Regions from separate parts of the Mus musculus genome. Here regions 2, 3 and 4 are each reported to be linked to region 1. Evidence: microRNA targets listed by miRTarBase, many of them from high-throughput screens and not tested one by one. Region 1 holds a microRNA gene; each other region holds the end of a gene's coding sequence.

Evidence for each region. Region 1 holds the annotated microRNA mmu-miR-466b-3p (AUACAUACACGCACACAUAAGA, at 5,092-5,113, opposite strand). A microRNA usually pairs through its seed, bases 2 to 8, with sites in the 3' UTR of a target mRNA and lowers its output. Matches are read on the target gene's strand: a 7mer-m8 pairs with bases 2 to 8, a 7mer-A1 pairs with bases 2 to 7 and ends in A, and an 8mer does both.
Region 2: the mRNA of Fam169b is a reported target of mmu-miR-466b-3p. Seed matches in the 3' UTR shown: 7mer-m8 at 4,197-4,203.
Region 3: the mRNA of Fbxl14 is a reported target of mmu-miR-466b-3p. Seed matches in the 3' UTR shown: 7mer-m8 at 1,427-1,433.
Region 4: miRTarBase lists Pgm2l1 as a target of mmu-miR-466b-3p. Seed matches in the 3' UTR shown: 7mer-m8 at 5,333-5,339.

The regions. Positions count from the first base shown.
Region 1 is chr2:10,483,323-10,491,589 of GRCm38, reverse strand. It overlaps Mir466b-4 (microRNA 466b-4), which reads right to left and starts at 5,167; the gene lies at 5,078-5,167. All of the region lies in intron 10 of Sfmbt2 (Scm-like with four mbt domains 2), which reads right to left. Mir467a-4 (microRNA 467a-4) reads right to left here and starts at 5,455; the gene lies at 5,373-5,455. Mir669a-7 (microRNA 669a-7) reads right to left here and starts at 4,937; the gene lies at 4,851-4,937. It also overlaps Mir467a-5, Mir466b-5, Mir669p-1, Mir467a-3, Mir466c-2 and Mir669a-6, and 3 more genes.
Region 2 is chr7:68,357,964-68,366,230 of GRCm38, forward strand. It overlaps Fam169b (family with sequence similarity 169, member B), which reads left to right. Exons shown (of 9, transcript NM_001374636.1): 8 at 222-325; 9 at 3,279-5,118. The coding sequence ends at 3,359. Among named protein-coding and RNA genes, the nearest start is that of Gm16158, 8.9 kb to the left of the region's middle.
Region 3 is chr6:119,480,302-119,484,301 of GRCm38, forward strand. Fbxl14 (F-box and leucine-rich repeat protein 14) reads left to right here. Exons shown (of 1, transcript NM_133940.3): 1 at 1-3,585. The coding sequence ends at 761. The region is part of intron 1 of Wnt5b (wingless-type MMTV integration site family, member 5B); the gene reads right to left. Among named protein-coding and RNA genes, the nearest start is that of Fbxl14, 2.6 kb to the left of the region's middle.
Region 4 is chr7:100,267,872-100,275,733 of GRCm38, forward strand. It overlaps Pgm2l1 (phosphoglucomutase 2-like 1), which reads left to right. Exons shown (of 14, transcript NM_027629.3): 12 at 246-435; 13 at 2,457-2,590; 14 at 4,456-7,862. The coding sequence ends at 4,558. Among named protein-coding and RNA genes, the nearest start is that of P4ha3, 14 kb to the right of the region's middle.

The DNA.
Region 1 (8,267 bases):
CACACAACTATACACACATGCACATACATGGAGGAATCACAGGCTGATCTCTCATGAGGATAAGTGTAAATTTGAACTCCTGATACTCTTAACTCTAGCAAGCATTTTCACTCTAAGTCACTTATCATTCAAATGGATTGACGAGTGCCATTCCCCTGTGTCTGTGTGCTCATATGTGTCTTATGTGTGCGTGTATGTATATGTATATCATATTCACATATGTACATGCACACACACATCAACACATATACACATACGTAGGGGCAATCACATGAATGCCAGGATGACCTCTAACTCATCATGCCTTTACTATGAACTTGCACTCCTGATCTTCCCGACTCTACCAAGGGTTTTCCCGTGGTTTGTGAGACCTCACCCTGGCCCAGTCATACATAACCTCCAAAGCAGTAGGTCACATATCATTCAAATGGATCCGTGAAGGCCATTTCCGCATGTCTGTGTGCATGTGTGTGTAGGTGTGTGTATGTATATGCATAAAATATACACGCATATACATGCAGGCACTTACGCACACGGGCACATACATAGGGGCCATCACATTATTCCAGGATGATCTCTAACTGCTCATGAAGTTAAGCATGAAATTGAACTCCTGATCCTCCTGACACTGCCAATTATTTACACCTGGTGAGTGAGACCTTCACTGTCCCTCTACTTTATAATCAGCAAAATTCTAAGACATATATCATTCAAATGGATCAATGAGTGTCATTCTTATGTGTGTGAGTGTGCACGCCTGTGTGTGTGAATACATTTGTATGTGTGTGTATTTATATGTATGATCATATACACACATGTACGTGCACACACAATTATATGCACTTGTGCATACCTAGGATCCATCACACAAATACAGGGTGATCTCTAACTCATTATGAAGTTAAGCATGAATTTGAACTCCTGAGACTCCTAACTCTGGCAAGTGGTTTTCATCTGATAAGTGAGATTATTCCCTATACCATGAATATACACTCAATGAAATTATAAGCACGTATAAATCAAATGGATGACTGCCATGTGTGTATGTGTGCACATGTATGTGTCCCTAGTTGTGTGGGTGTGTATATATATATATATATATATATATATATATATATATATATATGCATGTTCATATACGCGCATGTACAGGCATACTTCCCTATACACATAAACACAAACACAGGGAAAATCACATGAATTCCCGGCTGATCTCTAACTCATCATAAAGTTAAACATGAATTTGAACTACTCATCCTCATGATGCTGGCAAGAGTATTCACCTCCTAACTGATTAATAGCTCGGGCCATTCATGGGAGTATGTTTGCGTGTGAGTATATGCATATTCATATACAGAAGTGATTATGTACACAACTATACACACATGCACATTCTTGGTGGGCATCACATGAATCGCATGCTGAACTCTAACTCATCATGAAGTTAAACATGAATTTGAACTCCTCATCCTCCTGACACTGGCAAGAGTACTCACCTCCTGAGACATAGCTCTGGCCATTCCTATGAATGTGTGTGCATGTGTGTATATGCATATTCATATAGAGAAGTGAATATGCAGACAACTATACACACATGCACATTTTTGGTGGGCATAAGATGAATCCCATGCTGATCATGAACTCATCATGAAATTCAGCACAAATTTGAACTCCTGATCCACCTGACTCTGTCAAGGGACTTCACCTGCTGAGTGAGACCTCTCCCCATTCAGTACTGAGGAATCTTAAAACTCTAAGTCACACGTCATTCAAATGGATCGATGAGTTGCACTGATGTTTGTGTGTGTGTTTCTGTTTGTGTCTGTGTACATGTATATATTTGTGTAGATAGGAACATACATATACTCAAATCCACACAAAATATAAACAGATACAGATAGGGATACATAGGGGGCATCACATGAATCCCAGGCATATCTCTAAGTCATCATGAAGTAAAGCATGAATTAGAACTCCTGATCCACAATCTTTCACACCTGGTGAGTAAAACCGTTCACTGTCCCAGTACTGCATAATCTTTAAAACTTTAAGTCGCATATCATTCAAACGTATAAATGAATGCAATTTTTTTCTCTGTGTCTGTGCTTTCATATACACGTTTGTTTATGTTTTGTATATCATGTCAACAGATGCAATGCATATACAAGTAAACACATATGCACATACATGGATGGCCTCACATGAATACCAGGATGATCTCTAACTGAATTAAGCATGAAGTTGAAATCCTTATCCTCCTGACTTTGTCAATCTTTTACACCTGGTGGGTGAGACCATTCAATGTCCCCTATTGCATAATCTCTAAAACTCTACATCACTTATCATTCAAAGGGATTGGCGAATGCCATTCCTGTGTCTGTGTATGTGTGCTTGCGTTTATACGTGTGTGTGTGTATGTTATGTATATTCAAATATAGACATGAACATGCACACACAACTATACACACATGCACATACATGGAGGAATCACAGGCTGATCTCTCATGAGGATAAGTATGAATTTGAACTCCTGATACTCTTAACTCTAGCAAGCATTTTCACTCTAAGTCACTTATCACTCAAATGGATTGATGAGTGCCATTCCCATGTGTCTGTGTGCTCATATGTGTCTTATGTGTGCGTGTATGTATATGTATATCATATTCACACATGTACATGTACACACACATCAACACATACACATATTCATAGGGGCAATCACATGAATGCCAGGATGACCTCTAACTCATCATGCCTTTACCATGAACTTGCACTCCTGATCTTCCCGACTCTACCAAGGGTTTCCCGTGGTTTGTGAGACCTCACCCTGGCCAGTCATACATAACCTCCAAAGCAGTAGGTCACATATCATTCAAATGGATCCGTGAGGGCCATTCCCGCATGTCTGTGTGCATGTGTGTGTAGGTGTGTGTATGTATATGCATAAAATATACACGCATATACATGCAGGCACTTACGCACACAGGCACATACATAGGGGCCATCACATTATTCCAGGATGATCTCTAACTGCTCATGAAGTTAAGCATGAAATTGAACTCCTGATCCTCCTGACACTGTCAATTGTTTACACCTGGTGAGTGAGACCTTCACTGTCCTACTTTATAATCAGCAAAATTCTAAGACATATATCATTCAAATGGATCAATGAGTGTCATTCTTATTTGTGTGAGTGTGCATGCCTGTGTGTGTGACTACATTTGTATGTGTGTGTATTTATATGTATGATCATATAAACACATGTACGTGCACACAAAATTATATGCACTTGTGCATACCTAGGGTCCATCACACAAAAACAGGGTGATCTCTCACTCATTATGAAGTTAAGCATGAATTTGAACTCCTGAGACTCCTAACTCTGGCAAGTGGTTTTCATCTGATAAGAGAGATTTTTCCCTATACCATGAATATACACTCAATGAAACTCTAAGCACGTATAAATCAAAAGGATGACTGCCATGTGTGTTTGTGTGCACATGTATGTTTCCCTAGTTGTGTGTGTGTGTGTGTGTGTGTGTATATATATATATATATATATATATACATATATATATATATATATATGCATGTTCATATACGCGCATGTACACGCACACTTCACCTATACACATAAACACAAACACAGGGAAAATCACATGAATTCCGGGCTGATCTCTAACTCATCATAAAGTTAAACATGAATTTGAATTGCTCATCCTCATGATGCTGGCAAGAGTATTCACCTCCTAACTAAGTCATAGCTCGGGCCATTCGTGGGAGTATGTTTGCATGTGAGTATATGCATATTCATGTACAGAAGTGAATATGTACTCAACTATACACACATGCACATTCTTGGTGGGCATCACATGAATCGCATGCTGAACTCTAACTCATCATGAAGTTAAACATAAATTTGAATTCCTCATCCTGACACTGACAAGAGTGCTCACCTCCTAACTGAGACATAGCTCTGGCCATTCCTATGAATGTGTGTGCATGTGTGTATATGCATATTCATATAGAGAAGTGAATATGCACACAACTATACACACATGCACATTTTTGGTGGGCATAAGATGAATCCCATGCTGATCATGAACTCATCACAAAATTCAGCACGAATTTGAACTCCTGATCCACCTGACTCTGTCAAGGGATTTCTCCTGCTGAGTGAGACCTCTCCCCATTCAGTAATGAGGAATCTTAAAACTCTAAGTCACATATCATTCAAATGGATCGATGAGTTGCATTCATGTTTGTGTGTGTGTTACTGTTTGTGTCTGTGTACATGTATATATTTGTGTAGATAGGTACATCCATATACTCAAATCCACACACAATAGAAACAGATACAGATAGGGATACATAGGGGGCATCACATGAATCCCAGGCATATCTCTAAGTCATCATGAAGTAAAGCATGAATTAGAACTCCTGATCCACAATCTTTCACACCTGGTGAGTAAAACCATTCACTGTCCCACTACTGCATAATCTTGAAAACTTTAAGTCACGTATCATTCAAACGTATAAATGAATGCAATTTTTTCCTGTGTGTGTGTGCTTGCATATACACGTGTGTTTATGTTATGTATATCATGTCAACACATACAATGCACATACAAGTAAGCACACATGCACATACATGGGTTGCATGACATTAATACCAAGATGTCTCCAAATGAAGTTAAGCATGAATTTGCAATCCTTATCCTCCTGACTTTGTCAATCGTTTACACCTGGTGAGTGAGGACATTCAATGCCCCCTATTGCATAATCTCTAAAACTCTACATCACTTATCATTCAAAGGGATTGGCGAATGCCATTCCTGTGTCTGTGTATGTGTGCTTGCGTTTATACGTGTGTGTGTATGTTATGTATATTCAAATATAGACATGAACATGCACACACAACTATACACACATGCACATACATGGAGGAATCACAGGCTGATCTCTCATGAGGATAAGTATGAATTTGAACTCCTGATACTCTTAACTCTAGCAAGCATTTTCACTCTAAGTCACTTATCACTCAAATGGATTGATGAGTGCCATTCCCATGTGTCTGTGTGCTCATATGTGTCTTATGTGTGCGTGTATGTATATGTATATCATATTCACACATGTACATGTACACACACATCAACACATACACACATACATAGGGGCAATCACATGAATGCCAGGATGACCTCTAACTCATCATGCCTTTACCATGAACTTGCACTCCTGATCTTCTCGAATCTACCAAGGGTTTTCCTGTGGTTTGTGAGACCTCACCCTGGCCCAGTCATACATAACCTCCAAAGCAGTAGGTCACATTTCATTCAAATGGATCCGTGAGGGCCATTCCCGCATGTCTGTGTGCATGTGTGTGTAGGTGTGTGTATGTATATGCATAAAATATACACGCATATACATGCAGGCACTTACGCACACAGGCACATACATAGGGGCCATCACATTATTCCAGGATGATCTCTAACTGCTCATGAAGTTAAGCATGAAATTGAACTCCTGATCCTCCTGACACTGACAATTGTTTACACCTGGTGAGTGAGAATATTCACTGTCCCTCTACTTTATAATCAGCAAAATTCTAAGACATAAATCATTCAAATGGATCAATGAGTGTCATTCTTATGTGTGTGAGTGTGCATGCCTGTGTGTGTGAATACATTTGTATGTGTGTGTATTTATATGTATGATCATATACACACATGTACGTGCACACACAATTATATGCACTTGTGCATACCTAGGATCCATCACACAAATACAGGGTGATCTCTAACTCATTATGAAGTTAGCATGAATTTGAACTCCTGAGACTTTTAACTCTGGCAAGTGGTTTTCATCTGATAAGTGACATTATTCCCTATACCATGAATATACACTCAATGAAACTCTAAGCACGTATAAATCAAATGGATGACTGCCATGTGTGTTTGTGTGCACATGAATGTGTCCCTAGTTGTGTGGGTGTATATATATATATATATATATATATATATATATATATATATATATATATGCATGTTCATATACGCGCATGTACAGGCATACTTCCCTATACACATAAACACAAACACAGGGAAAATCACATGAATTCCGGGCTGATCTCTAACTCATCATAAAGTTAAACATGAATTTGAACTGCTCATCCTCATGATGCTGGCAAGAGTATTCACCTCCTAACTGAGTCATAGCACGGGCCATTCGTGGGAGTATGTTTGCATGTGAGTATATGCATATTCATATACAGAAGTGAATATGTACACAACTATACACACATGCACATTCTTGGTGGGCATCACATGAATCGCATGCTGAACTCTAACTCATCATGAAGTTAAACATGAATTTGAACTCCTCATCCTCCTGACACTGGCAAGAGTGCTCACCTCCTAACTGAGACATAGCTCTGGCCATTCCTATGAATGTGTGTGCATGTGTGTATATGCATATTCATATAGAGAAGTGAATATGCACACAACTATACACACATGTACATTTTGGTGGGCATAATATGAATCCCATGCTGATCATGAACTCATCATGAAATTCAGCACGAACTTGAACTCCTGATCCACCTGACTCTGTCAAGGGATTTCACCTACTGAGTGAGACCTCTCCCCATTCAGTACTGAAAAATCTTAAAACTCTAAGTCACATGTCATTCAAATGGATCGATGAGTTGCACTGATGTTTTTGTGTGTGTTTCTGTTTGTGTCTGTGTACATGTACATATTTGTGTAGATAGGTACATCCATATACTCAAATCCACACACAATAGAAACAGATACAGATAGGGATACATAGGGGACATCACATGAATCCCAGGCATATCTCTAAGTCATCATGAAGTAAAGCATGAATTAGAACTCCTGATCCACAATCTTTCACACCTGATGAGTAAAACCTTTCACTGTCCCACTACTTCATAATCTTGAAAACTTTGAGTCACATGTCATTCAAACGTATAAATGAATGCAATTTTTTCCTGTGTGTGTGTGCTTGCATAAACACGTGTGTTTATGTTATGTATATCATGTCAACACATACAATGCACATACAAGTAAGCACACATGCACATACATGGGTTGCATGACATTAATACCAAGATGATCTCCAAATGAAGTTAAGCTTGAATTTGCAATCCTTATCCTCCTGACTTTGTCAATCTTTTACACCTGGTGAGTGAGTCCATTCAATGTCCCCTATTGCATAATCTCTAAAACTCTACATCACTTATCATTCAAAGGGATTGGCGAATGCCATTCCTGTGTCTGTGTATGTGTGCTTGCGTTTATACGTGTGTGTGTATGTTATGTATATTCAAATATAGACATGAACATGCACACACAACTATACACACATGCACATACATGGAGGAATCACAGGCTGATCTCTCATGAGGATAAGTGTAAATTTGAACTCCTGATACTCTTAACTCTAGCAAGCATTTTCACTCTAAGTCACTTATCATTCAAATGGATTGACGAGTGCCATTCCCCTGTGTCTGTGTGCTCATATGTGTCTTATGTGTGCGTGTATGTATATGTATATCATATTCACATATGTACATGCACACACACATCAACACATATACACATACGTAGGGGCAATCACATGAATGCCAGGATGACCTCTAACTCATCATGCCTTTACTATGAACTTGCACTCCTGATCTTCCCGACTCTACCAAGGGTTTTCCCGTGGTTTGTGAGACCTCACCCTGGCCCAGTCATACATAACCTCCAAAGCAGTAGGTCACATATCATTCAAATGGATCCGTGAAGGCCATTTCCGCATGTCTGTGTGCATGTGTGTGTAGGTGTGTGTATGTATATGCATAAAATATACACGCATATACATGCAGGCACTTACGCACACGGGCACATACATAGGGGCCATCACATTATTCCAGGATGATCTCTAACTGCTCATGAAGTTAAGCATGAAATTGAACTCCTGATCCTCCTGACACTGCCAATTATTTACACCTGGTGAGTGAGACCTTCACTGTCCCTCTACTTTATAATCAGCAAAATTCTAAGACATATATCATTCAAATGGATCAATGAGTGTCATTCTTATGTGTGTGAGTGTGCACGCCTGTGTGTGTGAATACATTTGTATGTGTGTGTATTTATATGTATGATCATATACACACATGTACGTGCACACACAATTATATGCACTTGTGCATACCTAGGATCCATCACACAAATACAGGGTGATCTCTAACTCATTAT
Region 2 (8,267 bases), not on the chromosome of region 1:
AGATAGTAAGTAGACAAGGCTGGTGAGGCACGCTGAACACTCTCCTAGCTGAGCTACATCCCCACCACTGAATTGCCTACCCCTTTATGTCCCCTGACACCTTGCAGCTGTCCTCAGAGGAGACCAGTGTAGCAAAGATCAAAGTGGAGATCATGAGAATGAAGTGGGGCCTCAGCATCGATGTGTGGGGAGGGGTTCGCTTATCCTGTTCTCTTGTTTAGGGAGCACCGTGCACCCTAAATGTTCTGAAGAGGACACGGACACTCCCGGGCAGGCTTCTCAGGAGGATGGACCCACACAGTTTAATCATGGAGAAAGCCACAAGGTACAGTAGCAATCTACCATTCCACTGCCTTTCCGTGTCCTCAGCAATCATCTTGCCTTTCTTAGTGACTGCCTCGCAGCTCCCAGCTCCTTGGACACCTGGGCTCTAGGCTCCTCCCTAGCAGTGGACCATACGGATGTTGATTGGTGCTTAAAAGCTTCCCAGTCTCGGGGATAGAGGGATGAGATAAGAAGAGATCTTTATAATTAGGCATTTCGTTTTGGTAATTTCATCTCTCAGACAGACAAGCACTCATGAAGTCGGAAGGAAACTAGGAGTCTGACCCTCATATGGTTAGAGAATTAGTGAAAGATCTGAGTCTTAAATCTGGCTGCAGACCAGCATCTCACGTAGAACAAAAGCAAAGCAAATCTACCTTGCTCTTTTCCCGATGCCTTCCCAGTCTGCTGCTGACAGGAGAATGAAGTTGGGTGTTTGCATCCTCCGGCATGATGGGGGTCTTGAGGGGAAATCAGGTCACCAAGTCTTTCTTAGTAGCTTGGTGCTCAATATTTGATAAGATTTGGTGTTTTCCCTGAAGCCAGCCCGTATGCATACTGGGTGATCGCTCTGAAATCCTTAAAGGGTCAACTCTAAAACCTAACTCTTGTCCGTGTGAAGGAACATGGCTCATTCTGTTAAGCAGTGATTTCTGGGATAGGAGACTCCACAGAAGCAGAAGATAGTCCCGTAAGTCTCGGGTCGTCTTTGAAAGCTGTACATGGGTAAAAAGAAAAAAGTTGGCCCTTTCAGAGGAAGCAGCTGGAGTCTGGAGTATTTGAAGGGGTGTGTATGTGTGTGTGTGTGTGTGTGTGTGTGTGTGTGTGTGTGTGTATTGTGCATATGTGTGTATGTGTGTGTGTGGTATATGTGTATGTATGTATGTGTGTATGTATGTGTGTGTATATGTGTGTGTATGAATGTGTGTATGTATGTGTGTGTGTGTGGTGTGTGTATGAATGTGTGTGTGTGAATGTGTATGTGTGTATATATGTGTGTATGTGTGTATATGTGTGTGTGTATGAATGTGAGTGTGAATGTGTATATATGTGTGTGTATGAATGTGTGTATGTGTATGAATGTGTGTGTATGTGTGTGTATATATAAGTGTGTGTGTATGTGTGTATGTATGTGTGTGTATATATGTGTGTGAGTGTGAATGTGTGTATGAATGTGTGTGACTGTGAATGTGTGTGTGTGTGTGTATGTGTATGTGTGTGTGCATGTATGGCTGCACACTCAAAGGCAGAATGCCAACTTAAAAAAATACATTGGCATATATCAACCATATTCACTGAGTTCTATTATGACACTTCCTACTTGTGTATAATGTATTTTCACCACAGTCATTGCCCTGTTACCCTCTAATTCCCCCCTCCCCCTCCCATTGACCCTCTCTCTTCTCCTTACCTCTTCCTGCTATACCACTGAAGAAAACATCTTACCTCTTTCTTCAATCAGTATCTGTCTATAAGTCCTCAGGGAGGGATATAGTATATATTAAATATATTTTTATATATAAATAAATATATTTTTTAAGTTCCCTTTTCTCAAGACAGGGTCTCTCTGTATAGACCAGCTTGGCCTTGAATTCACAGAGATCCACCCGTCTCTGCCTCCTTGGAGCTGGGATTAGAGGTGTGCACTGCCATGTTTGGCTACTCGATGGTACTCTAACAGGCACATCATGTCCATTTCATAAAGCAACAGTAGTTGCTTCCCTACAGGGGGCCTGCGACCCACCCTGGCCACTGGCTTTCGAGCAGGCTTACACTGCAAGGTGTGGATTTCTCTCTGTAGGGCCAGCCTCACGTGCAGCCATAAGTTTGGCTGTAGCAAACTTGGGACAATTCTATCAGTGGCTCTGTCCTGCCTTACCTGTGAGTGACAATGGGTGCCGAGGACAGTCCATGACAGCCTGTGCCGCTTGTGCTTTCTCGCAGCATGGGGGCTGACCAGCAAGGGAAGAAGCCCCCAGTTGCAGCTTGATCCCCCTTTGTCTTTTAGCCAGCAGTAGGACCTTGTCTTGTAGTTCTGGTGGGCAACTGGTCACAGTGCGGTGGCCTGTTCTGGAGCCTCTGGTGCGTCCCTGTCCTGTATCTCACAGGGAAGTAGCCCAACACTGTCATTTGGGTTCTCATTTAGTAACCTGTAGCTTCTGCGAGGAGCTTCACTCTAGCACACGGGATACGCTTTTAAAGCGAGGCTCGGGATGTCTGCAGCTCAGTTGGTACACGGCTTCCTCACACGCATGAAGCTTTGTAGAATCTGGCTGTACTTGTGTACCCCCTGTGAGTCCATCCCAAAAGAGGCAGAGGCAGGAAAATCAGAGCATTTTTAGCTTCGTGGAGAATTCAAGGACAGTCTGGAACACAGGAGACCCCATAACAAATAAACAAACAGACAAACACAACAATGTCTAGTTGTGTCTTGGTGTCTATGGGAGTTGGTTTCTGGACCTTCCTTGGATGCCCAAGCCCCCTGTGTGAAATGGTGTCCCTGTTTCACTCACCCTCCCACACACGTGACATCATCTCTGGATGAGTTGGGCACCCAGTGCAGTGAACACCACAGAAATGGTTGTTTGGTACTGTAGGGACAATGACCTGGGAAGGGTGGGCATGCCCAGTACAGCCTGAGCTGTTTGGGGTGTTCTGACTTGTGTTAGCTGAGTGTGTCCATCATCTACTGGTGCTGGGTGCGTGGCTCTCCTGCTCTGCTCTGACCTTACTTAAATCTTGTACAGGCTGGCCTTCGGGTCCATCCAGCAAATATGTGCACCGGTGACAAATATGTTCCCCTGTGCATCACTAGCTGGTTTGTTCAAACGTGACTTATCGCCTTTAATCTCAGCATGAAGGGTGGGGCTAGCCAAGCCAGCTCACCCCGGGTCCTATGTCTAGACCTGCACTGTCCGTCAGGACCTCATCACAGTGTTACCTTCTGATTTCAGGAGTGGGCTGTTGGAGAACCGGAGAGGACACAGAATGGCCGACGCTGTGCGCAAGTGTGTGAGGAAGCGCGTCAGGTGTGAACTCGGCACCTAACTCCTCAGAGGGCCGTCTGGCTTCTCCAGGATCTGAGCCTGAGGGTTTTTATACGGCCCTGAATAGTCTCTGGTCCTGAGGATGGCGATCGTTATCTCTGGCTCCCCTGGTAGGCTCCGGAACAACAGGGTCTGAAGAAGTGCTTGGGTGAGCCAGATACTCAATGGGAGCCACTTTTGCAGGCCAACTGTTGGCAGATGCAGGACTTTAGAACGTCATTCATTAAAATGACCATTGCTTCCACTCCCCAGGAGAATAGGAGGGAGATGCGTGGGACCCTGTGAATGAATGAACACACTTCCCCTTAGTGGAAATGGGCTCAGAGATGGACCATGGTTCCCATCCATGATGTACATTCAGCCTTGTTGTAACCTCAGAGCTCCACAGTGGAGTTTTCAGGGAGACAAGTTCCATCTCTGGGGACTTGTCAGTCACTTCTGAGCTCCTTGAGGACACACACCAGGGCTGGATAATGTCAACCATGCCAGGGCCTGATGGTGGCCACTGTGGGCCTTGGACTGCATTAGGCTCAGTGTACTGCCCATGTTGCCTTCAGTGCCATCGGGTCCAGATGTCTGCATTCGGGGGAGGATTTCTACCTGAGAAAGTGGGCCCGACACTTTATGTTCCCTGAATGCTCAGCAACATATGCTGTGGGGTCTTATATTTGTCAAAGCGTGCAGCTCTTTGCTCATTTCTACATACATGCACACATGCATGTGTGCACACATACTTCTCTCATTTTCTCTCTCTCCTCTTTCCTTCACCTCTTCTCTTCCTCTCTCCCCTTTCCTCTACCCATTTATCTGTATATATATGTGTGTGTATGTACACACACACACACACACACACACACGTTGTGATTGTTTGTATATGCTAGGCCCAGGAAATGGCACTTTTAGAAGGTGTGGCCCTGTTGGAGTAGGTGTGTCACTGTGGGTGTCTGGCTTTAAGACCCTCATCCTAGCTGCCTGGAAGCGAGTATTCTGGTAGCAGCCTTCAGATGAAGATGTAGAACTCTCAGCTCTGCCTGCGCCATGCCTGCCTGGATGCTGCCATGCTCCCACCTTGATGATAATGGACTGAACCTCTGAACCTGTAAGCCAGCCCCAATTAAAAAAATTTTTTTAAATAAGACTTGCCTTAGTCATGGTGTCTGCTCACAGCAGGAAAACCCTAACTAAGACACACACACATATATCATACATATACATATCTACACAACCACACACACATGTACACTCACACATACATTCTATTTCCTTTGATTCACTGCTGTATCCCCTACCAGCCTGTCCTCTCTTGTTCCTTCCTTTCTCCACCCATCCAGCATGCTTTCTGCGGGACAAACTCTGTGTCGTGCTTGGGACATTAAACTGAGGCTTGGTTTCAGCCTCAGGGAGCTGCTCTCTCTGGGTGGGCTGCCCTGAGTGTCTCCTGCAGTTTCTCTTCGTCTCACACACATTGCAAAGAGGGAGGGGCCCGACTGTGAAGAAGCAGAACTTGCAGCTCCATACAGGGACATCACGAGGACCCCGTTTGCATATGGGGGTCTGTGAAGGAAGCCCGGACCACAGACATGGACTGAACATCTGAGGGGTGCTTTGTGTGGGACCCCACACATTCTTTAACATGTAGTTCATGTGTTGTGAGGATTTCTTGTTTTCTGTTTATATGAAAATTAACTCATAAGTATCTCTGTGATTTAGTAACATTATTGCTCAATAAAGACCTTCCACATGTTAATAGCTTAATTTTAGGACTTTCAAGGTGCCCACGGTGTTGGGAGAGGCTCTCTGGATCAGAGCAGTGCCCACCCTGGTATTGGCACAGCAGATGCCAGCACTAGGCTGGTGCAGGGTGCCTTCTGGGGAGGACACTGTGGGACTTCTTGATTGTCAGTGTGCAGTGAGCCTGTTTATGCAAGATCATTAATTCTGTTTTTACTCAGGATTTTTAATGGACTTGCCTCCCTCACCCACTTTGAAACAGGGTCTTGCTGTGTAACCCAGGCTACACAAACACACCAGCTTTCTGTCTCAGGCCCCAGAGTGCTGGGATGACAGAGTTTTAAACAGCTGCTGCGAATACAGTTTACTGAATGTAAAAGTGATTTTCAGGGCTTCTGCAGCCACCGCCCCAATCTGTGCCCAAAAGAAGTGTCGTGTCCATCGACCCCCTTTCCCTTCACTGCTCATGATCCCTAGGTCACTGCTCACAGACACGCCTGCTCTGAGCATGTCACATAACTGCAGTCATACCTTAGAAGTTATTGGCAGCTGGCTTTCTTCAAGTAGGATGACAATGTTCAGAGGTCTTAACTGTGTTCCAGCATATGTCAGCACTCCGTTCCTTTTCAGGGCTGAGTAATATTCCACTGCATGGATCCATGGTGCCACATTTGTTCATCCAGTCCTCAGCTGATAGGCTTTTAGATTGAGTTCTAGCTTTGCCTGAGACAATAATATTGAGATCATTGCTTTAATTTCCATTTCTTCAATTGTCAAGGAAAGTGGAAACTTTTTAAAATATTTATTGACCCTCTATGTTTTTCTTTCTTCCTCTCTTCTTTTCTTCCTTCCTTTTCCTTCCTTCCTTCCTTCCTTCCTTCCTTCCTTCCTTCCTTCCTTCCTTCCTTCCTTCCTTCCTTCCTTCCTTCCTTCCTTCCTTCCTCCCCCCCCCCCTCTCGTTCCCTGACCAGTTTATCCAATGACTATTTTTGGTGTTTAAGTTTTGCAGGTTGTTTTTTTTTTTTTTTTTTTTTTTTTTTGTATATTGTATATACTAAACCCCTGTGTTATGGTTGATTTTAATGCCACAAAGTAGAATCACCTGACTAGGGAGCCTCTTTTGAATGAAGTGTCCGTCCTGCTTGATGTGGCAAGACCTACCCTGCCTGTGAGCAGCACCTTCTGGTAGAGCCTGGATAAAAGGGTTTGCAGAAGGAAGCTCACCTGCATCTGCACACTTGGCCTCCCCCTGATGGCTGAGTGGATTTGCCCATTGCTGCTGCTGCTAATTCTATCACAGACAGCAGAACCATTGTCTCCAGGCCTTCCCTGTGGGCTAAGGACCAGTGTCTCCCCAGGAACCTTACAGGTTTCCAGCAACAGGTTGGCCCTGCTGAAGTACCCAGTCGTGTGCACGGAGAAGCTACCGATTCCCTGTCCTGCTTCAGTGAGAGAGACTGCGGGACTCCTACTGCTGAGGTACCGGCCTCTAGGACTGAGTAACTACCAGACTCTCAGCTTTTAGGTGTGATCCTGCTGTTACTACCTAAAGCTGACCTACTTCTCTCTCTCTCTGTCTCTCTGTCTGTCTCTCTCTAATCTATTATCTATCTATCATCTATTGATTAATAAATGATAGATTAATAGATCTATTAATAGATCTATCATGTCATATCAATCATCATCCATCTATCTACATCTATGCATTATCTATCATCTATCTTATCTATCTATCTATCATCTATCTATCTATCTATCTACCTATCTATCATCCATTCTCTGTCTGTCTGTCTGTCTGTCTGTCTGTCTGTCAGTCTGTCTCTGTATGTGTGTGTATGGTCATGGTTCCTCCTTCCAGCAATAGAACAATAGGACAGAAGTTGACGGCAGGCATCTGTGGCATCGCTGTGATAGGCCTGACATTCTGTTTGTTGGAAGAATATGGGAGACTTTGGGAATTTGAAGTAGAAAAGTGAATGCTTTAGTGCTTTGCATGAATTAGCTTGAATGCTGCGGGAAGTGTGGCTGATGGAGCATCCTAGTAGGATCATGGAGGGCAGGAGTACGAGGTCGGTGTGGACCCTGCAGGTGCACCTCAAGACGTTTCTGAGGGCAAGAAGTAATAGCAAGTGGCCTACAGAACATTCTTATAATGGGTTGGCAAAGAATGTATGTGTCTGATTTCTGGCTTTGTTTTAAAAAAATCTACCCGAGCACTATTGGAGAATTTTAAATTAGTGTCCTTGGCAGAGGAGATTTCGAGACAGCCTAGGATTGACTGTATCACGTGGTTACTAGTGGGCACTCTCCTGCAGATCTCCGTGGAAAAGGAGGAGCACGGCAAAGAGAAATAAAAATGAACATCAGGAAATGGAGCCAAACTCTGTGCTCGAGGGGATAGTTTTATAAAAGGCTTGGTTTAAAATGGAATAAAGGAATTGGTAACCTCAGGGCAAGACCCACCCAGCTAATCCTGCAAAGGAAAAGACTTGGGGGATTTTTTTTAAGGCTTAAATAACAAAGGAAAGCGTCCAGCACCAGCAAGCAGCAGAATTTAGCAGCTTCAGCTATAAAACTTTATGAAGTTCTGGCTTTATCAAGGAATATATGGGAAAGGGGCTCTGGAACCTTCCTCTGTGGCTAAATAGAAAGCCAAGGAGGCACAGGAGTCCCTGCATGAAGGCCCAGAGAAGCCATTACACGAAGCTGTGAAAACGAAGCTTGGATTTTATTGGAAACTTCAAAATGTTGGAGATGCCAAAGCGGTGGGATACCTGCCAGGAAGAGCTGATAGCAGGGAGTGGAACCAGTCCAAGGGAAAGAAGTGTGCGGCAGTCAACGGAGCTGGAAGGAGTTGGAGACCTGAAGAGCACTTTGACATCAGACATGGGGCTGCAGAATTTGGCGTCTGCCCAGCTGGCTTTCAGTCTTGCTTTGGTCCAGCATCTCCTCCGCAGGGCTCCTCCTCCTCCCTGTTGGAATGGTAAGGTAGAATCTGTGCCACTGTATGCTGGAAGTACGCGATTTGCTTTTTGTTTTTTATAGGAGGTTACAGTTAAAAGATCGCAAGAATCCCAAGAGACTTTGGACTTTAAAACAGCGTTGAAGTGAAAAGACTATATGGGGATCTTTGAACTTGGACTAAATGCATTCTGCATTATTATA
Region 3 (4,000 bases), not on the chromosome of region 1:
TGGAGCTGGGGGGCTGCAGCAACATCACCAACACCGGCCTTCTGCTCATTGCCTGGGGGCTGCAGCGCCTCAAGAGCCTTAATCTCCGCAGCTGTCGCCACCTCTCGGATGTGGGCATCGGGCACCTGGCCGGCATGACGCGCAGCGCTGCCGAGGGCTGCCTGGGCCTGGAGCAGCTCACTCTTCAGGACTGCCAGAAACTCACGGATCTTTCCCTGAAGCACATCTCGCGAGGGCTGACGGGCCTCCGGCTCCTCAACCTCAGCTTCTGCGGCGGCATCTCGGACGCGGGCCTTCTGCACCTGTCGCACATGGGCAGCCTGCGCAGCCTGAACCTGCGCTCCTGCGACAACATCAGCGACACCGGCATCATGCATCTGGCCATGGGCAGCCTGCGCCTTTCCGGTCTGGATGTGTCGTTCTGTGACAAGGTGGGAGATCAGAGTCTGGCGTACATAGCCCAGGGACTGGACGGCCTCAAGTCCCTCTCCCTTTGCTCTTGCCATATCAGTGACGATGGCATCAACCGCATGGTGCGGCAGATGCACGGGCTGCGCACGCTCAACATTGGACAGTGTGTGCGCATCACGGACAAGGGCCTGGAGCTGATCGCTGAGCACCTGAGCCAGCTCACGGGCATAGATCTGTACGGCTGCACCAGGATCACCAAGCGCGGCCTGGAGCGCATCACGCAGCTGCCCTGCCTCAAGGTACTTAACCTGGGACTTTGGCAGATGACGGACAGTGAGAAGGTCAGGTGAGGGCGGCAGTTCCAGTTCCCCCGCCCCGCCCTGTTCATCCCAGGACCACCACTGTTCCGCACACTCACGCGCGCACTTACACGTTCAGGGCAGTGGCCGCGGTGGGGCGATGACGGAAGCCTGGGCTCTCTTCTCCTAGTCTGGCGCCCCTCTCCACTGCGTCTGGAGTTGTTCTGCTCCCTCTACCCACTCTCCTTTCCCAGTGAGGGGAGAGATGGACCCTGCTGTTTCTCTGCCCACTCTTCTGCAGGGTATGGAGACTTTCAGCCACCGACAACTGTATCCTGGGGCACTGCATTTGGAAATGGGGTGGGGGCGGGGAGGGACTAGTCGTTTCAACCCCGAGGAGTTGAGGAAAGATGCCTGCCTTCACTTACACTTTCATTTGGATACTGTGATCTGGCTTTTAATTCCAAACGTGTAGAAAGCAAGCCCGACTTGAACAGCCTTCTCATCCACTTTGTAGCCAGTCTCCTCTCATCGCTGCCCCTTTGGTATCTGCAACTCACTTCGGTTCTGGTTTTGTTCTTGTTCTGTTTTTTTGTTTTGTTTTTTATCTGCTTCCTTTTTAGTTTTCAAAGAAATTTGAAATCATTGTTCTTTTTTCTTTCTGCTGAGTATATTCTCATATATATATATATATATATATGTGTGTGTGTGTGTGTGTATGTATATATATATATGTCTGGCTACCTCGTTTTAGTTTACTTTTTTCTCTTAAGCCCTGGAATTCTACAAGAGAGATATTTTGAGATTGAAACATTTTTGTGCCTAGACTGGAAAGATGCCCACTGGGTTTGTATCTGTTTTTGGTTTTGGCTTCTTCCCAACCTCCCTGTACCCAATGTGCCCCACTTCCGCATCCTGGCTACGACCCCACCCCCCACCCCACCCCCAGTCTATTGGGCTTTGATGACCCAACCATGTTTCTATATTGATTTAATTTATAGCACAAATGTATGGGAGAAATGAGAGCAGAATTTCCTTTTTGTTTGTTTGTTTGAGATGCAGATTTGAGTCTTGAAGAGGAGTATTATATATGCAAATTATGCCCCACCCCAACCCTCTTGCAAGTCTTCCCACCGAGAGGTTAGCTAGTGAGGCTGTTAGCTAGTGAGGCTTCCCGTCCTGTCGGGGAGTGAGCCGTGTCAGCAGAGAGCCTGAGGCTATGTGAATGAAGGGAGGAGGCTGAACTTCATGTCCTGTCTGAGTTCTGTTCTCGAAACGGGAGCTTGTGGGTTTGAAAACTTTTGTTTCTAAATGGAGGAATAGATGACTTTATTTTGGTGGGGGGTTGGGACTGTGGCTTTAAAACAAATCGCTTTTGAGTAGGATGTATATTTTTGTTGGATATTTTGTTTGTTTATTTTTTTAGAGTCCTCCACAGCAACATGAGAGACCATGGAGAAACCCAGAGACCTTTATCAATTAATTGTACTGTTTGTGAATTTGTATAAATAACAAAGATCCTCTTAAAACGTTTATATTCTTACAGCAAAAGGTTAAACTGATATTTATATAATAAAAGAGGAAATATGAAGTATGTTTTTGAAAAAAAAAGCACAAAATCCCCCCCTTGTATCTGTGAATTATTTTTAAGGCATTGTGTGTCGGGTACATGCTCAGGTGGGAGGTGTTAGGAGTGCACAGAAACTGGAACTAAGGTGGAGTTCAGCTGGCTCATGTGCTGTAAGTTTATGGTTGAGAATTTCTTTTGTGTAAGATTTACCACTGACATCCAAATGTTCTGTCTCTAGAAATGTGATCAGACTGGAGAGTTCTATAAATTTTGGTTTTAAACTGTCAACATGGAAACTGAAAGAAAATGAAACTTTTTTTTTTTTTTAAGAGACCAGACTTGGAAGAGTCAGAGTGGCCAGTTTCTTTTTGGGAATGGTGGTGGTAGAGGTGAGATCCAGGGTAACTGTGAAGAAGCCGGTCCTGAGCTCTGGAAATGCGAGAGTAGGAGGGGTGTCCTCACATTGGGTGCACAGTGAGGGACACGCAGTAAGACGCAGAGGGAGCCAGCCATTGTTCCGGGGAAGTTGAAAGTGCTGTCCTAGCTGGCTGGCCCAGTCCTGCGTGCTCCTGTGTGTGTGCAGGTCCAGCGGAAGGGGGCAGCAGTGCTCTTTAACATCCCCCTTCAGGCCTGCCTGCATGCAGACCCTTTGCTGGGGCTTAGACTGGTCAAAGTTAAGGCACACTTTCGTTTGGAGCCCTTCTAGTGCCCAGGCTGGCCACTGAGCCATTGGTAAGGGTACAGGCTGGATTAAGGGCGGATAGATGGATACCAGCAATGTTAGCATAGTTCTCCTACATAGACAAGCAGCACTGTGACTTCTGTAAGCCGAGGGACAGAGGCGGGAGTGAGCGAGTCGCAGCCCTGGGTTCACGTTGGTGGGCTTTGTTTCTGAGGTCACTTTCTCCACTAGAAACCCAGGTTTCCTAGGTCAACCCATCTTTCCTAGGTCAACCCATCTTTCCCGGCAGACAGCTGGAACCCAGGTTGTTGCAGGGTGTGACGGTCCTGTACACTTTCTAAGCTTTAAGCCTGAACAACAGAAAAGCTGTGCCGTTCCTTTCTCAAGTCACCAAAACCTGCTCTGAGTCCCACACTAGATCTATCTTCCCTTTCTTTAGGGACAATACAGATTTCTATTCCCTAAAGACAAAGCATGCAACAACAAAAAGTAGGAATCCTGGAGAGCAGTCTGAATCAGGCCTGCTTCCTAGGAATCTCACCCAGCTCCCAGGGTCCCGCTGTGGTCCGGTCTGTAAGTCACGCCGCGATACCAGTCTCCATCGGATAAGCAAATAATCCCACGATCAGTACTCTGCAACAGTTTCTGTTTGTTTGAGTTTTAATTGTTAAGTGTAAGGTTAAGGGGCTGGAGAGACGGCTCGGTGGTGGGAGTGCATGCTGCCCTTGCAGGAGGCTGACGTGGAGCTCCCAGCGCCCCCAGTCTCAGGTAACCCCATCTCCAGGGGCCTCTGTGGGCACCTGCACTCAGGTGCACAGGCACACATGTAAGTCTCACATAATAAAAGTAAGTCTTTAAAGGGTCATAAATTAGTATTTGCAAGTTAAGATCATGGCATGGGTCTTAGTGTCCATGGCCTAGTTTCTTTCTGAATGGGGCGGGGGGGGGGGGGGGAGGAATACACGTTGGGAACCCATGTGGGCTTTGCATGGTACTTTACGTTTTTAACCCTTCAAGCGATCTACTGAAACATCTCCC
Region 4 (7,862 bases), not on the chromosome of region 1:
CTGTGCAGCCCTGGGTGTCCTAGACTCGCTCTGTAGACCAAGCTGGCCTCGAACTCATGGAGATCTGCCTGCATCTAACTCCCAAGCGCTGGAATTAAAACATGTGCCACCTTTTCCTGACTATATTTCTTTACTATTAATATTATCAGTATCACTTTCTATAAAATATTATGTTGGCTTATCTTTAATATGCACGTGTCCAAAAGTTCCCTAGAATCTGACTTTAGCTTTAAATCTTTGTGCAGATACGGTTACCATATGTCCAAAACTTCATATTTCTTGTGTTATGATCCACCTACCATCAAAACCATATTTGAAAGGATTCGAAATTTTGAGTCTCCAAAGGAATATCCAAAATTTTGTGGGGCTTTTGCTATTTTGCATGTACGGGACATAACCACTGGATATGATAGCAGCCAGCCAAATAAGAAATCAGTAAGTACCTTTTCTTTTTACAAACAATGAAGACAATTTAATAACTCAAGTCACCAAAAAAATCTAAAGCTGCAATAAGTTTCACCTAAGATCCAAGCCAGTGTGCTCATGTTTACTTGTTTACAGTGGTTAAGTTTAGAAGCAGCCAGATGGAAGAGACATGCAGGCAAGGTTCTACAAGTGGAGGCCTGGGCAAAACCCCCCAAGCCAGTAGTCCTCAGCCTTCCTAATGCTGCCACCTTTTAATACGGCCTCGTGTTGTGGTGACCCCCAACCGTAAAATTATCTTGTTGCTACTTTGTAACTATAATTTTGCTGCTCTTATGAATCACAATGTAAATATTTGATATGTGAACTCCAAAGGGTTGGAAACCCACAGATTGAGAGCAGCTATTCTCAGCACTGTCCAGGTGTACCACCTTCCTTCCCAGCATTCTGTGTGTTCAGCTAGAAGTTGAAACCCCAGAAAACACCTCTTTAAAGAAACAACTGAGCAAACAAAACCACCACCACCAACAAAAAACTTGTCATAAAAAAAGTGTCATAATTCATGGTATAGTAAAAGAGTGGCCTCTAGTTTCTTGAGGGGAGGACCTGTTGTTTTGTGCCACCAGACTATTTTCAAGGGCACTAACTGGTCTCTGACTTGATACTTATTACTCCCCTAATAATCATCCGTGCTGCTGGCGCAAAGGGAAGTGGGCTTGGAGAAGAGGGACCAACGGAGAAGAGGAAGCGAGGGAGGGAGGGAGGGAGGGAGGGAGTGCGCAGTGAGGGTGAATGATACGGGAACATGAAGTCTAAAGACTTCAGAGCCCTGCTGCAGCTTCCTGATTTTAACATGCTTCCAACCTGGCTCTCCATACCTCTAGTCCAATAAAACTGATTCTTTCTTTCTTTCCTTCTTTCTTTCTTTCTTTCTTTTCTTTTCTTTTCTTTTCTTTTCTTTTCTTTTTTTGTTTGTTTGTTTGTTTGTTTGTTTTTTTGTTTTTTCGAGACAGGGTTTCTCTGTGTAGCCCTGGCTGTCCTGGAGCTCACTCTGTAGACCAGGCTGGCCTCGAACTCAGAAATCCGCCTGCCTCTGCCTCCCAAGTGCTGGGATTAAAAGTGTGCGCCACCACGCCCAGCGAACTGAAGATTTCTTAAACACATATGCATTAGGTTTTTCTGTATTTTGGGTCAACTTGTTTGCCTCAGTTTACCTTTTCTCCTTTCTGCTGTAGGCTCATACCTCACCATTACTTAAGGTTTAATTAAGGCAAGAGCTGATGGTGACAGGGCACTTACCTAGAATGCTTGAGGCTTAAAACTTAAGGCAAATGTTACATCCTCCTTTGGAATTCCAGGTCCCATAATCAGTTTTTACAGAATGAGTGATTGTGTAACCTTTGGGTTGTATATTAGTGTTTTGTTGACGTCTACTTATGTCACTGTTGCATTGCACGTGGCAGGTCCATTTCCTCAGTACCTCTCAATGCTCCCACCTCTGTGGTATATGCTCAACAGACACTTACATGATAAGCTCTTACATTCATTTTATTGTAATTATGATGATAACTGTTAGCTTAAGTTCCATTTGTAATGTTCAAATGTTGTTTCAGTACTCTAATAATGTATTTAATCCATGTTTGCATCTTACCCATTTTAAATAATTTTGGTATTCTTTGAAAATTCCATACATGTATACGACATATTTTGATCTTATCCACCCCCGGTTCCTCATCCCAACTCTCTCTGGGATCCACCAACCCATCTCCCTCAAGACTTTATGTCCTCTTTTTTCATTTAAATTTCAAAACATGTAGTATGCTTATATTATTATATAACAGATTTCTTTAACCTTGATAAATTGAAATTCTGTACTCATTAAACAACTTTACACACCCATCTCCCAACTCTTGGCAATGACCAGTCCACATTGCTTCTGTGACTTAGATACCTTAGCTACTTCCTGCAACTGTGGTATATTTTATAGTTCTTGAAAATGAAGATATAGGTGTAAACTATTGCATTTTGAATAGGTACTGCCTGTGAGTAAAAACAGCCAAATGATTACATTTACCTTCCAAAACGGCTGTGTCGCTACTCTCCGAACAAGTGGGACAGAACCGAAGATAAAGTATTATGCAGAGATGTGTGCATCGCCTGGCCAGAGGTGAGAGTTGATTCTTTTGAATATATATGTAGAAGCTTTATTGAGATATAACTTACATACCGTACAGTTCACACATATCAGTGTAAAATTCAGTGGTTTTTAATATCTCTAGCTGTGTAACCATCACTACAATCAACTTTAGAACATTTTTATAACTCTAAAAAGAGTTCCTTTAGAGGTTCTTTCCAGCCCTAAGCAGGCACTGGTCCACTGTCCTTTTCTAAGTTCTGCTTATGCTGGTTTTTCTTCATGTTTTCAACACTCTGAAAGAGGTAGGGAGGGTTTATTTGGGGTCATGCTTTTTGAGGTTTTGATTCACAGTTGTCTGGACTCAAGACAAGAATGAACATAGTGTCACATGTGGAGGAAGAAGAGATCGGGTAAAACTTTCAAAAGCATAGCCCAGGGGCCTATTTCCGTCAGGTACATTCTACCCCAGATAGCACCGATATCTCAAGATCGCATCTATATCACCTGAGTCTGTAAGGGACTTTTCAGATTTACCCCGTAACAGGACATTTTATTTATAAATGAAAGAAGACATTATGTGGTCTTTAGTGGCTAAAATCATCCTTTGTCCCCAACTATTCCCCTCATTAGTGGACATGCAGGTGATTACTTCTTAAACTATTAGAATGGTGCAATTATGAGCAATTGTGACTGAGTTTGTGTGGTGTATACCTCCATTTTTCTTGGAAATATATGTAGAAGTAGGATTTCTGGGCCCTAAGGTAAATATGTTTTACCTTTTGAGAAACTGCCAGACTCTTTCCCCCAAAGAAGCTATATCGCTGGGAATTGAATATCAAAATTGTAGTGAATTTCTTTTTTGGGAATTCTGAGTTTTAGTATAAAGAAATGATATGTTAAATCTTGTTTTTTGTATCTGCCATGGTTTTGCTTAATCTGCCAGTTCATTTTCTAAAAACATGGGTTCGGTTTGTCACAAATTGTTGATCTTTTTAATGAACATTCCAAAAGTTATTTAATTGATTTTGATTATGTCCTTTTGATTATGTCCTTCACTGACCAGTGAATTTTGGGGACGATTTATCTTTTAATTGTCTTGAGGACACAACTAGGGTGTGTTAGTTTGTATCTCCCTGTGCCCATGTATTTCTCCAGGAGATGAAAAGGACCTCTCATGTTCAGAGCAGAGTTTATAGTTATCCAAATAATTTTAGGTCAAAATGAGGAATTATTAAAGTAATAGAAATGGGTTTGTTTTCTGGCTTGTAAATGGCCGTGAAGGTGGGTACAGAGGCTTCTACAGGAATGTGTGGCCTGCAGCAGTGCTTCAGTGATGATTCACAGGGAATGCCTGTAAGTGTAGAGTGATTTTTTAAAATAAATACCTTATTCGTTTTCTTCTTTTTTTAAGACAAGCTCTCACTATAGAGCCCTGGCTGTCCTCACAATCACAGAGATCACCTGCCTCTGCCTCCCCAGTGAGTGCCAGGACTGCTTTCTGATACCTGAAAGATATTTGTATTGTTCAATGTCTTCTGTACTGAATGTCCTTCAGTATCTCAGAAAGCCATTTTTAATAATACGTGCTATTGGCATTCTGAGCTATTAAATTGATTAACCTAGGAAAATTCATTGGCCACTGTGAACTCACACTCTATCATGGCCGGAAGACATCCGAGTAATGCAGTCCAGTGTTAGCTTGTGACTGTTGTTTTGTGTATGAATTTTTAAAGAGTCTTCTTTGTTTTATTTCAACTGGGTGAATTTCTCTTTTGTTTGCCGATTATTTAGTTGTCCTGTCAGATATGTGCCTTCCTTAAAAGTGGAAATGATTTAAATAAATGTTAAGGCTATAAAAATAAGAATTTTAACTGTTTTTGTCTTTTTTTCCTCAGTGACACTACCTTCCTGGAAGAAGAATTAAAGAAACTCATTGACGCGCTGATAGAGAATTTTCTTGAGCCCAGTAAGAACGCACTGGTCTGGCGCTCTGTGTAGGGCACATCAGTACGTTATGACTCTGCACTGACATATGGAACGAAACCTTCAAGAACTCCACTCAGTGAACCTTGTGTTAGAATTCTCTCATCTGCCAAGTTATCTTTTCCCTTTTCTTTCCTGTGTTCAGCTGGCTAAATAGATTATATACATTTGAAATGAAAATATTTGGATATGAGTCAAATATTTTCATAATCTTAAGTGACAGTCATTACAATGAAAGTGTTCCAGTGGCACGCTGTTCTTCCTGTATCACAAACAGTACAAAAGTGAGTTTTCATATTGAACTGTGCTTAAGCTTAGTTACGTATCTTGTAATTGTGTATAGCATGGTTTAAAAGAAGTCAAACATTATATAACTATAGGGTTAGTTAAGGAAATTACTTCTTAAAGGTGTTTGTGTGTTTGTGGCTGGGAGTACTGTTCCTGCCTGTTTTTCAAATTAGAAACCCAGCTTGGTGGCATATTCCTGCCGTCACAGCCCTTAGGAGGCTGAGGCAGGAGGATCATTAGTAGGAGGATCATTAGTTAGTTTATGGCTAGCCTGGGCTGCACAGTAATTCTTTGTCTAGGAAGGGAGGGAGGGAGGGAGGGAGGGAGGGAGGGAGGGAGGAAGGAAGGAAGGAAGGAAGGAAGGAAGGAAGGAAGGAAGGAAGGAAGGAAGGAAGGAAAAAATGTTTATAGGTTATTTAGGTTTTCTGATTTAGGACAGATGTTACCGTCTGTGGTTTGGCACCAGTGTTTCGGGTGCCCTTGGTGTGGTGTATATTTACTGTATGTATTTAAGACGGATGTTTACTGAACATAAAACAGTAGTGGCAGCACTCCTCATGGCTTTATTCTTGTCAAATTCCTCAGTGCATTCTCAGGGTCTAGTGGGAACTGAAATGATGTTCCTGTGTTGAATATAACACAGTCCATTTTCAGATAGTTAAGGAAAATCTTCCAAACTATATAGGTGCTTCCTCTATAGGAAACAGATTTGTTCACTCTAAAGATGGTTGTAGAAAAAGGTCTTAATAAATTTTGGCTTAATGTAACTGTAGCTGAGTCTTCCTGCTAGGATTCAGTTATCATAACCTATAAGTGAAAAACTCTGTCCTATGGCATCAGCATGGCATTTATTTGGCAGTCTTTTTTAATTACATTTTTATAGCCAGATTTATTTATCTGATAAGGTAATGCTAATTTTAATAAAAAATGAAACATCAAGATATAAGTATTTTCTACAGCCACACTACCTTGATTCAATACCCAATCTCATTCTCATTATCTCAGAAGCTAAACAAGGCTAAGCACGGTGCTTGAATGGGAAATTTTAGGTATTATGAAACACTGAAACTGAAGTTAGAACTAAGGTCAATTTATTTTAGTATGCTCCATCAGGCTTTGGAATTTCTGATCATATAAATACGTTTCATCTTTTTCAATGCGAAACAGTTTTCAGGAAAGTCATTTGTGGTTGACTCTGTAGCCTTCTGAAAAGCCTAATGGAAAAATACTGTCTAAGCTTTCCAAATTATATATTTCCCCAAATAGTTTACAGAATACACACACTACAGTTATGATAACAGTAGCAAGGCCTTCAGGTATAATCATTTAAGAAAAGTTGCCTATAGGAGACAATACTGATGTTAGATGATTAGTTTCCTAAAAATAAATAATATAAAGCCTATACTGATTGGAATATTAATTAAACCATGGTGTGTTTTGTTGCAGCTTGAGGATAATTTTGGTTGAGCTTATATAATCCAAAGATAGGTTTTACATTATGTTGCCACTACTGCTCTGTGTTCCTTCCTTACTGTCTTAGAACTGGGTCCTACATTATATAGATGATAGCTAGTTAATGTTCAGTGCCATTTTCCTGTATGAGTTTATTTTAGAGGCTTTGTGCTAAAAAAAAAGTAGCATGTAGAATTTTTTGTTTTATTTTTAAAACATTTTGTTGGCTTTTAGGAGTGTAAATTGTAATTTAGGAAATAACATGTATTCTACGACGTGGTATAAAAAAACATGCCCATTCAGTTTTAGTGTCTGTGTCTCAGTGGCCCAAGGACAAAATGAAAACTAAAGCAATGTGACAGCCTGTTTATAACAAGAAAGCCACGCCATGATTGCTATTCACTTGTGAAGAGAATATCTTTGCTTCAGTGCTAAACATACAAGAAATAAGTCATCGTCACGTGACGTTACTGACATTTGAGCCCTTATCTTGAAAGGCTACATCCCAGCTGTGTATAAAGGTTCCCAGAGTGTGTAAGTTGAGGAGACCGTTTGATTCTTGTCTACATTCTTGAGTCTGTCTGAGCATGTTTAACATGAACATGACACAGTGGGTGCACAGGTGCCTAACAGGCTAAATTTAATAACAGCTCAAGATAGGCATGCCAGCCTGTGGGTCTCGACCTTGGAATGATAACTGCATTGTTTATCTCATCCCTCTTTTCAGCAATAGCATGGGAATATATTCTCTTTGAGCAAATAAATCAAAATAAGTAATTTCTGGAGTTCTGAGGAAAAGAATTAGGCTGGAACATAGCTCAGTGGTAAAGCACGTACCTAGCATGCAGATGAAGCAAAGCTTACATTTGATCCCTGGCAATACAAAAAGAGAGAAAGTTATTATTGATGAAGCGAAGTCAAATCATAAAGTGGTAATAACCAACAAACAATATATAAAGGCCAGTAATGATGGTATAAAAATGCTGGAGACGTGCAAACATGCACCGTAATGGTGGGTAAACTGTATGCAAGGCTGTTTACTTGTGTTTGTTAGGATGCTCAGACAGCAAGCCTGTATTGTTTTCCTTTAGTGGTGGTCACTGAAAAGAAGCCCACTTCTAGGAGGTGAGGTTCAATTGAACTGTGGGCTCAATTCCTAGTGGGGTGTTGTTTCAGAATCACGTGAGAATGAGAGAAGATAAAGAACAAAATTAAAAGAAACAAAACCAAGATTGGAAAGTATAACCTCTAAGAAAAAGTTCAAGGAATTAGGATTGTTGGACTCTGAAACAAAAAGCTATTGAGTTCATTTACTAAACCATAAATTACTCATTGGGATTTTTGCTAAAGGTATCAAAGTAAGAAGCAGTAGTGGCACCCTGATTATCTCTAGTGAAGACACCACAGGGAATAAGGTTGCAAAAAAAAAAAAAAAAAAAAAAACTAAAAATGGCCGATTCTAAAAACACAAAAAGAAGACCTAGAAGGGAACTAGTTGAAAAGTGAGACAAATGGGTAGGAGAGGGCTAAGAGAAGGATGATGGGGTTACTGTGATCATAATACATTCTATACACATGT